2 linked regions of the Caenorhabditis elegans genome follow. The protein of the gene in region 1 binds, or shares a complex with, the protein of each later gene. Each region holds a gene or a part of one and is shown on either strand. Other genes may lie near its edges. The genes, in order: lin-52 and lin-54.

Region 1 (3,033 bases):
TAAGAAATATTTTATTAATTTCAAGTTTGAAAAAAAAAGGAATTTTCAGAGTACAAGATTATTGTAGTCGGTCTCGATAATGCAGGGAAAACGACGATTTTATATAATTAGTGAGTTAATTTCAGAAAAAAAACACATTAAATAACTTTTAAAAATTTAGAAATAATTTCTAATCCAAAAAAAAAATTATAATTCAGTGTGACAAAAGATCAAGTTGAAACGAAGCCAACAATTGGAAGCAACGTCGAAGAAGTTTCGTATCGAAATTTAGATTTTGTGATCTGGGATATTGGCGGGCAGGAGAGTCTACGAAAGTCTTGGAGTACTTATTATGTTCAAACAGATGTTGTTATAGTTGGTATGAATAACTTTTAGTAAATGATATTAAAATTAAAATTATTTTCAGTTATTGACAGTTCCGACACCACTAGGATTCCAATTATGAAAGAACAACTGCACAATATGCTTCAACATGAAGATCTTGCTCGTGCTCATATTCTGGTTTTGGCCAACAAACAGGATCTGCCCGGAGCAATGAATCCAGCAGAAGTATCCACACAACTCGGTCTCCAGACATTACGAGGTGCTCGGAAATGGCAGATAAATGGATGTTGTGCTGTGAAAGGAGAAGGATTGCCGGAAGCTCTCGAATGGATTGCCAACAATTTGTAGAAACGTTTATATTTATAAATTTCAAAAATTGCCTTAAACTTTGCCAGCCTCGTTTTTTAAACTCTCACTGTGAGATTATGTGATTTGCCAACTTTCTAATTGTGCTCTGTTAGTAATCAAGTTTATTCATGTGAATGTTAATGAATGATGAGATCATTATTTTTTGATAGACCACTATTCAATTCACTGGCTTCCTGTCGTTTCTTCCGCTACATTTTTCGGTGGTGTTGGCTGCAAATATCTCGGAGAAGCCGAGCCAGTGGGTTTCAGCACGTTGAGCAACTTTCCACGTCGGCACTGGCGAGCTTCTTCGATTCCAAGAGTGTACACCGAGTTTTGAATGTTTCGGATGAGCTTGGCGATATCGTCGGCTGGGCAGTGGCTCATTGCTGAAAGTTAAAAATTGAAATGAATATGGAACAATATGAATACGAACTATTAACAGTCACAGCATCTTCCTTGAGAAACGAAATATTCTTGTATGGCGATTCGTAACCTTTTGATACTGATTCGCTTTGAAATGCTTCTTCAAAATCGAGACATTTCATTGGAACTGGCTCACTTTCTTCTGGCATTGTTTCGGTGCATTCGAGCATCTTTTTCTGTTGTTCTGAAAATATTTAAAATTCGAAGAATCTTTCTTTTCTACAATATAATACCAACCAAGCATTTTCGCCTGTTCTGCGTTTGATTTCTTTTCGATCATTTGTTGGACGAACATTTCGTCATCTCCAAATTCGTATCCAATAAATCCTAGCGGACGCGACATTTTTTTCCTGAAATTACCGCTATATGTCAGAATTTAAATGTTTAGAATTGAGTAAGTATAGAGCTTGTGACGAATTAAACGTTAGGCCGCAATGAAGTAATTGTATTGATTTCTTCTTCTAAAAAATAATTCTCACAAAACAAATATTTATTTGATGTGAACAAAAACGGGATGTGAAGAAAATTACTCGGGAATTTACAATAAAATACAAAAAAAAATCGATTGCTAGACAGCCTAGCCGGTGGGTACTTTACAAATTTTAAATTTACACAATACGGTTAAAAATAATGAAGAAACGAGAAACAAGGTAAAAAACATGAATCAGTGGGCAGTCGGTGGTGGAATAGAGAAATAGTGTCGGGCAGTCACATGAAGAATGATTCTGAAAAATCAAAAATAGGAACATGGTCCGCAAACACGGTAGCATATTAACGCACCACTTCTCTTTTCTCTTTGCCTCTCCGTTGCTGGCGGTTTGAACAACCTTGCGAGTGTCCCCTCCTGGCTGAGATGCGTGCTTGTGCTCCACTCTGTCAGACTTGGTGCGCTTTCCGCTTCCAGTGGTGAGATCCTAAAATTGAAATTATTCAGTTTAAATACAATATATGCATTGCACTGACCGGTCCTCCGGTTTGCTCGAATGCGGCAGCCATTTCTTCAGCAGTCGACGACATCTCGTTGGTAATTTTCTGCAACAAAAAATTATTATAAAGCTTAGAGACGTGTAAGCAACACAAAAATGAGAGAATGAACCGACACAAGAATGACCAAAACAAGTGTTATCAAAGTGAAATGGACGATGATTGGCAGTTGCATGATTAGAAAGAAGTAGGCAGAAAAGGGAGGAGAGTGCCAAGAAAACAAAACTGTGAAAGAACCGATTGAATAGCATTTGAAACGATTGGAGTGTGTTTATTTGAAGGACGATAGTGACAAATCTAAATTTTGGCGCGCGTAGTGTTGACGAAGATCAAATCTATTTACAAGTGTAAATGTTTAAAATCGATAATTTGAAATTTTCGATTAGGAATAAGGCTGAAAAGTATTTAAACAAAGCTTCAATTGAGAAATACCAGAAAAATTCGTTAAAAATTTTCAACGAGTTTAAAGGAGGGCGCATTTGTGTGGAATTTGTGTGGCGTAGAGATTTCTTTATTGATTTTTCTCGTTTTTTTTTTTTAATATTCTGACTTATATTGCGTTTATCAGCCATAATAAATGTTAAAAAGGTCGAAAATGAGAAAAATCAATGGAGAATGAAAAACAACTCTAAATGAGAGTGCGTTTTTGTAGAAAAGCTCTACAAAAGTGAGAAATAAAGTAACGTTTTCAGGCTTTTTTTCAAGAATAGAAATCTGCCTGAATATTTTTAGCGAATCAACAGCAGACGGACAGTTTCATTCAAATACTCGTATTTATACATTTGCGTTGGCGCCAGAGACACGTGATGGATAGACGAGCGGAGACCATCGAAAAAAGTAAAAATGAAAAGAGACGCAGAGCAGCACATTTTGAGGGCTGACTTGTTTCTGCTAGATATATTGGTGCGGTGTCATCGAAGGCACAGAACAAAAAGAAAAAAGAAGCAAGAA
Region 2 (4,881 bases), on another chromosome or scaffold:
ACCTTTAAACGGACTGTACAAATCCAGAAGATAGTCTATTGTGTGTTGTAGAACGGGAAAAGGCCTTAATAGTTCCGGTTTGTTGTATTTATGGGTGTCAGCAGCTGATCGTGAGTACTCTTTGACCATTTTCGTCGGATCTGCAACGTATTTTGACCGGGGTCCTGAACTAGTCGATGCAGTAGCTTCTAATTGATCTATCAGATGATTCCGGCTTCGAAAATTTATTTCAGCGACTGGGCACATTGATTCACACGAGGCCATTTCTGAATGAAGCGAAAATATTTTAAAATAAAATAAACTGAAGAAAAAATTCATCAGAGCGCAGTTTCTCTCCACGCAAAAATCGATTTCGAAAAGCGACGAAGCACGAGTTCTTTTACCAGAAATAGATAACAAATGAATCCCAACACCAGTGTCTTTCGATACAAATTCTAAATTAGACGTCTTGCATGATTTATTGAGATATTTATCAAAATACACGCAGATAGTAACAAGAATTTATTGGAACAACAAAAACAAGTGACAGATCATTGAGCTGGGATCTCGATCTCTCCATTGGCGATCGACTCGATGATGTCGTGTGGGTGTTGTCCATCAATTGTGCATCCAACGGATTGGGCTGTTCCTGAAAAAATACAATATTTAGAAACAGTTTATCGTTTTCGAAATATTACCAAGGATCTCCTTGACGGTTCCTTCAAGTTTCTTGGCCATCGATCTTGGTCTCATGATTCTGGCGATCTTGATGATGGTGTCAACAGTGAGGTCTCCATTGTGCTTCACTGAAATGGAAACGTGCAAAACGTTAAACTAGATTGATTAAACAACCCGTTGGGACGAGACAACACCAAACCCAGGAAAAATCAAACTCACGGAGCATGAAAATCACTTAGGTTACTAGTCTTTAAGTCACAAACTTTTACAAACTTATGAAGTAAGAGACCAGGGGATGAGAGCATATCGACTCCCGACCCAACGCATTAAATGCGTACCGTTCTTGACCTTCTTGCGGTCACGTGGTGGCTCCTTGAGCTCCTTGACGATGAGGGAAGCAGCAGATGGGACAACGTCGATCTTGGCAACACGGTTCTGGATGGTCAATTTGCAGGTGACCTTAAGACCCTTCCAGTCTTGGGTGGCCTTGGCGATGTCTTCTCCGATCTTCTTTGGAGACAATCCAAGTGGTCCGACCTTTGGGGCAAGAGCGGAGGTGGCTCCGACTTCTCCTCCGACGCAACGGAGGTACACTGAAAAGTGAAAATGATGCAAAAGAGTTTTTCAAAAATCACGATGATGAAATCTTTGACAAATTGAAAATCACGCATAATACGTCAAATACCTAATTAAATGTGCACAAAAATGAGCAACTTACCGATCTTAATCTCAGTTGGGTCGAACTTTGGTGGCATGATGAGTGACGTCTACCAGGGATACCGGCGGTGACAAAAGTGAGAAAAAATTCGTCGCGAGGACTTGGCGCCGGCGAATTGACTCCGTATCACAATGGTTGTTGCGTCGCTACGCAGCGAATTGTCGATGTCAATTTTCAAACAACATTAACTGTGGAGCGCACTTGCATTATTTTTGTTTAATCAAATTTCGGCGCGCGAAACAATTTTTTAATCCTTTTTTTGGGTGTTTTTTAAATTTATTAATATTAAATCTTATTGAATTATTGATTTTCAAGAAATAAGTTACTAATTTAACATTTTTGAAAGTATTTAGACGGCGAAAAATGAAATTTTGGTTCAAAAAGGAACGTAAATAAGTTGTATTTCATCCTCAAAACGATGTTCTTTTTTTTTTGTTGGGAATTTTCTGGCAAGATAACTTAATTTCTTTTCGTTTAATCTCTTTCCAAATGCTAAAACATTGTTTTCCTGATTAGTTATTTTTCAGTATTTTCAGTGTTGACAATGAATCAAGGAGAAATCGTTTATCAAGACGACGATGATTATTACGACGAATCGGAGATATACGATAATTATGAAGAAGGTGCCGAATTTATCGAAGTTAATGGACAGCTTGTGCCTCATAATCCAGTAATTTGTTTTCAATTCGAAATAAAAATAAACTTTTCTCAGAACTTACAGGCGCAGCAAAATCGTCCGGGAACCTCGAGTATGATTCAACAGCATAATCGATCAATGGAAGTTAATCAGGGATTGGTCAAAGACGAACCAATTGATACATCATCGCATCGCGTCTACGTCCCCCCTCCGAGACCAGTTCAGCGAAAAGTAATTTTAAAAATTTTCGATTTTTTACGAATTGACTAACCTCTTTGGAAGCTTTTTCAGCCTGGGCCCAGCACTCCCGGATCGTCTCAGTACACTGTGCGGAATTTGTCCAATTTATCGGGTTCACCTTCAATGTACGATCGACAGCCCGCTTCATTACGTTCGTAAACTAGAGATCTTTTGTCCTAATAATTATTTTATTTAAGCTAGAACAGTGCAACCAATGGGCTTGGAGATGGGAAATTCTGAACAGCGAAAAGTTTACATCGATATGAAAGATCACGTTAGTCATATTAGATTGAAAACTAAAAAGTAAAGAACTCAAATTTTGTAACTTTTCACTAATTCCTCTATTTTTCAAGAAAAGTATTTGCACCTGGCCAGCGGAAACCATGCAATTGCACGAAATCTCAATGCCTCAAGCTCTACTGTGATTGTTTCGCCAATGGAGAGTTCTGTCGTGACTGCAATTGCAAGGATTGTCACAATAATATAGAATACGACAGTCAGCGTTCAAAAGCCATCCGTCAGTCACTTGAGCGAAATCCGAACGCTTTCAAGCCAAAAATTGGTATTGCTCGTGGAGGTATTACCGACATCGAACGTCTTCATCAGAAAGGATGTCACTGTAAAAAGAGTGGTTGTCTGAAAAACTATTGTGAGTGTTATGAAGCAAAGGTTCCGTGTACCGATCGATGCAAGTGCAAAGGATGTCAGAATACTGAAACATACAGAATGACAAGATACAAGGTGCAATTTCCTATAATTCAGTTTAAAAAATGGAGTAACGATTCTGGATTTTTCGAACGTATAGGCTAACAAATGTGCTCAAATTAACAAGTTTTGTTTGGCAGTTCAAAATTCCGAAAAAGGCTAATTTTGATCACTTTTCCGTGTCCCAGCGGTCGGAAGCTGACTTTTTTTGAATTATCATCTTTTATTGAATATTTTGGTATTTTATCTGACGTTATTTCATTGATTAAGGTACATTTAAAGCTGATCGGTAACCAATTTCGATCATTTTTGGTCACCTCTCGGCCTTAAATGTACTTTAATTGATGAAATTTTTAAAAAAACGTTAGATAAAATACCAAAATATGCAATAAAAGATGATAATTTTAAAAATGTCAATTTCCGACCGCTTCGACGCGGAAAAGTGGCCAAAATTGAATATTTTAGCTCAAATTTCACCTTTTTCAAATTTAAAAAAATCATATTTTGGATCTCTATACGTTCAAAATACCGCAATTCTTGCAATAAATTTAATTTCTTATTCAAATTTTAATTTCAGAACTCCGGTGGTGCCGTGTCCAATACGAATGCCCTGATGTCATTGACCAACGCTTCCAGCACAGCGACTCCAGATTCTGGTCCGGGAAGTGTGGTGACCGATGAGCATGGAGACGACTACGAGGATATGCTTCTTTCGCATAAACCGAAGGTCGAGATGGATCCTAGACGCTTCCCGTGGTACTATATGACCGATGAAGTCGTTGAGGCAGCCACTATGTGCATGGTTGCTCAAGCTGAAGAAGCTGTTAGTTGGAAAATCAATTGGTTTCCTATTGAATTTAATTTTTTTTCTTTGCAGTTAAACTACGAAAAAGTGCAAACCGAAGACGAAAAACTCATCAATATGGAGAAGCTTGTCCTTCGTGAATTCGGCCGCTGTCTCGAACAAATGATCACAAACACAACTGAGCTCACACAAGATCTTGATGCCGCTCCAACGGATGACATCCCAGGACCATCTACTAGTACTTCTTAACTATTCGCATTAAAATTATTATCAATTTTATCACAGTTGCGCGATCTTTTATGATCTCACCTCTCACACATTCTTTGCCTTCCTCCCCTCCTCTCAATGCTTTTACAGATTCACAAGTTGCCTTCTTTCAAAGTTGTCAAATAAAAAATGATCAGAAAAATTTGTTTCATTTTTACTAACTCACCTGCGTCTCTTCAATTTTAGAAATTATTGTGTTATATTTATGAAGTTTTGTGTCTTTTTTTTATTATTTGGCAGCATAGTTGCACATTTGTTCCCAGCAAAGTAATTATTTCGAGAAATGTTTGATTTTTTGATTCAGAAGTTTAAATTAAATTTTAATTGCGTATTGTGCGCCGAAACACGCTCCTATTTTAAACAAAGCTATTCAGGAGTGTTTCGGCGCACAATATGCATCGCTGGTCTGCGATTAAAATTAAAATTAATTTTTATTGTGCAAAAAATAATTAAAATGCGAATTAGTACACCTTTAAAACCTAGAAAATTTATTAGAAATGTCAGAAAACGAGCTGAGCGCCGAGGACACTGCATTTCTGGAAAAAGCCTTCGAATTGGCTCAAGAAGCTTTAGATGAAGATGAAGTTCCAGTTGGATGTGTATTTGTGGTCAATGGAACAGAAATTGGAAGAGGTCGGAATCGTGTGAACGAGACCGGTGATCCGACAAGGCATGCTGAGATGGTAGCAGTCACTGAAATGTGGAAAGAGCACGGAACGGGCTGCGAGGATCTGCTCAAAAAATCCACGCTCTACGTTTCCCTGGAGCCCTGCATAATGTGCTCGTCGGCAATGTATCAGCTGGGAATTCGAAAAATGGTGTATGGAGCCGAAAATCCACGATTCGGAGGTG

What was found.
Region 2: lin-52 (region 1) and lin-54 share a complex: the UniProt entries of both Caenorhabditis elegans proteins name them as parts of the DRM complex.

Annotation. Positions count from the first base shown.
Region 1 is NC_003281.10:9,823,303-9,826,335, forward strand, and holds lin-52 (Protein lin-52), read right to left. Parts: upstream 1,449-3,033; 5' UTR 1,442-1,448; coding exon 1,336-1,441; intron 1,283-1,335; coding exon 1,109-1,282; intron 1,062-1,108; coding exon 856-1,061; 3' UTR 781-855; downstream 1-780. Other genes in the region: arl-5 (ADP-ribosylation factor-like protein 5), read left to right, coding at 50-110, 198-358, 407-672; ZK632.9 (uncharacterized protein), read right to left, coding at 1,823-1,823, 1,879-2,012, 2,062-2,115. UniProt on the Caenorhabditis elegans protein: Synthetic multivulva class B (synMuvB) protein. SynMuvB proteins are required to repress the induction of vulval development by Ras signaling and probably act by forming the multiprotein DRM complex that represses transcription.
Region 2 is NC_003282.8:13,239,149-13,244,029, forward strand, and holds lin-54 (Protein lin-54), read left to right. Parts: upstream 1-1,902; 5' UTR 1,903-1,919; coding exon 1,920-2,045; intron 2,046-2,087; coding exon 2,088-2,243; intron 2,244-2,294; coding exon 2,295-2,403; intron 2,404-2,449; coding exon 2,450-2,555; intron 2,556-2,605; coding exon 2,606-2,993; intron 2,994-3,534; coding exon 3,535-3,780; intron 3,781-3,834; coding exon 3,835-4,011; 3' UTR 4,012-4,253; downstream 4,254-4,881. Other genes in the region: tag-115 (SAC3/GANP/THP3 conserved domain-containing protein), read right to left, coding at 3-264; rpl-12 (Large ribosomal subunit protein uL11), read right to left, coding at 531-628, 678-785, 996-1,250, 1,376-1,412; JC8.4 (CMP/dCMP-type deaminase domain-containing protein), read left to right, coding at 4,527-4,881. UniProt on the Caenorhabditis elegans protein: Synthetic multivulva class B (synMuvB) protein. SynMuvB proteins are required to repress the induction of vulval development by Ras signaling and probably act by forming the multiprotein DRM complex that repress transcription.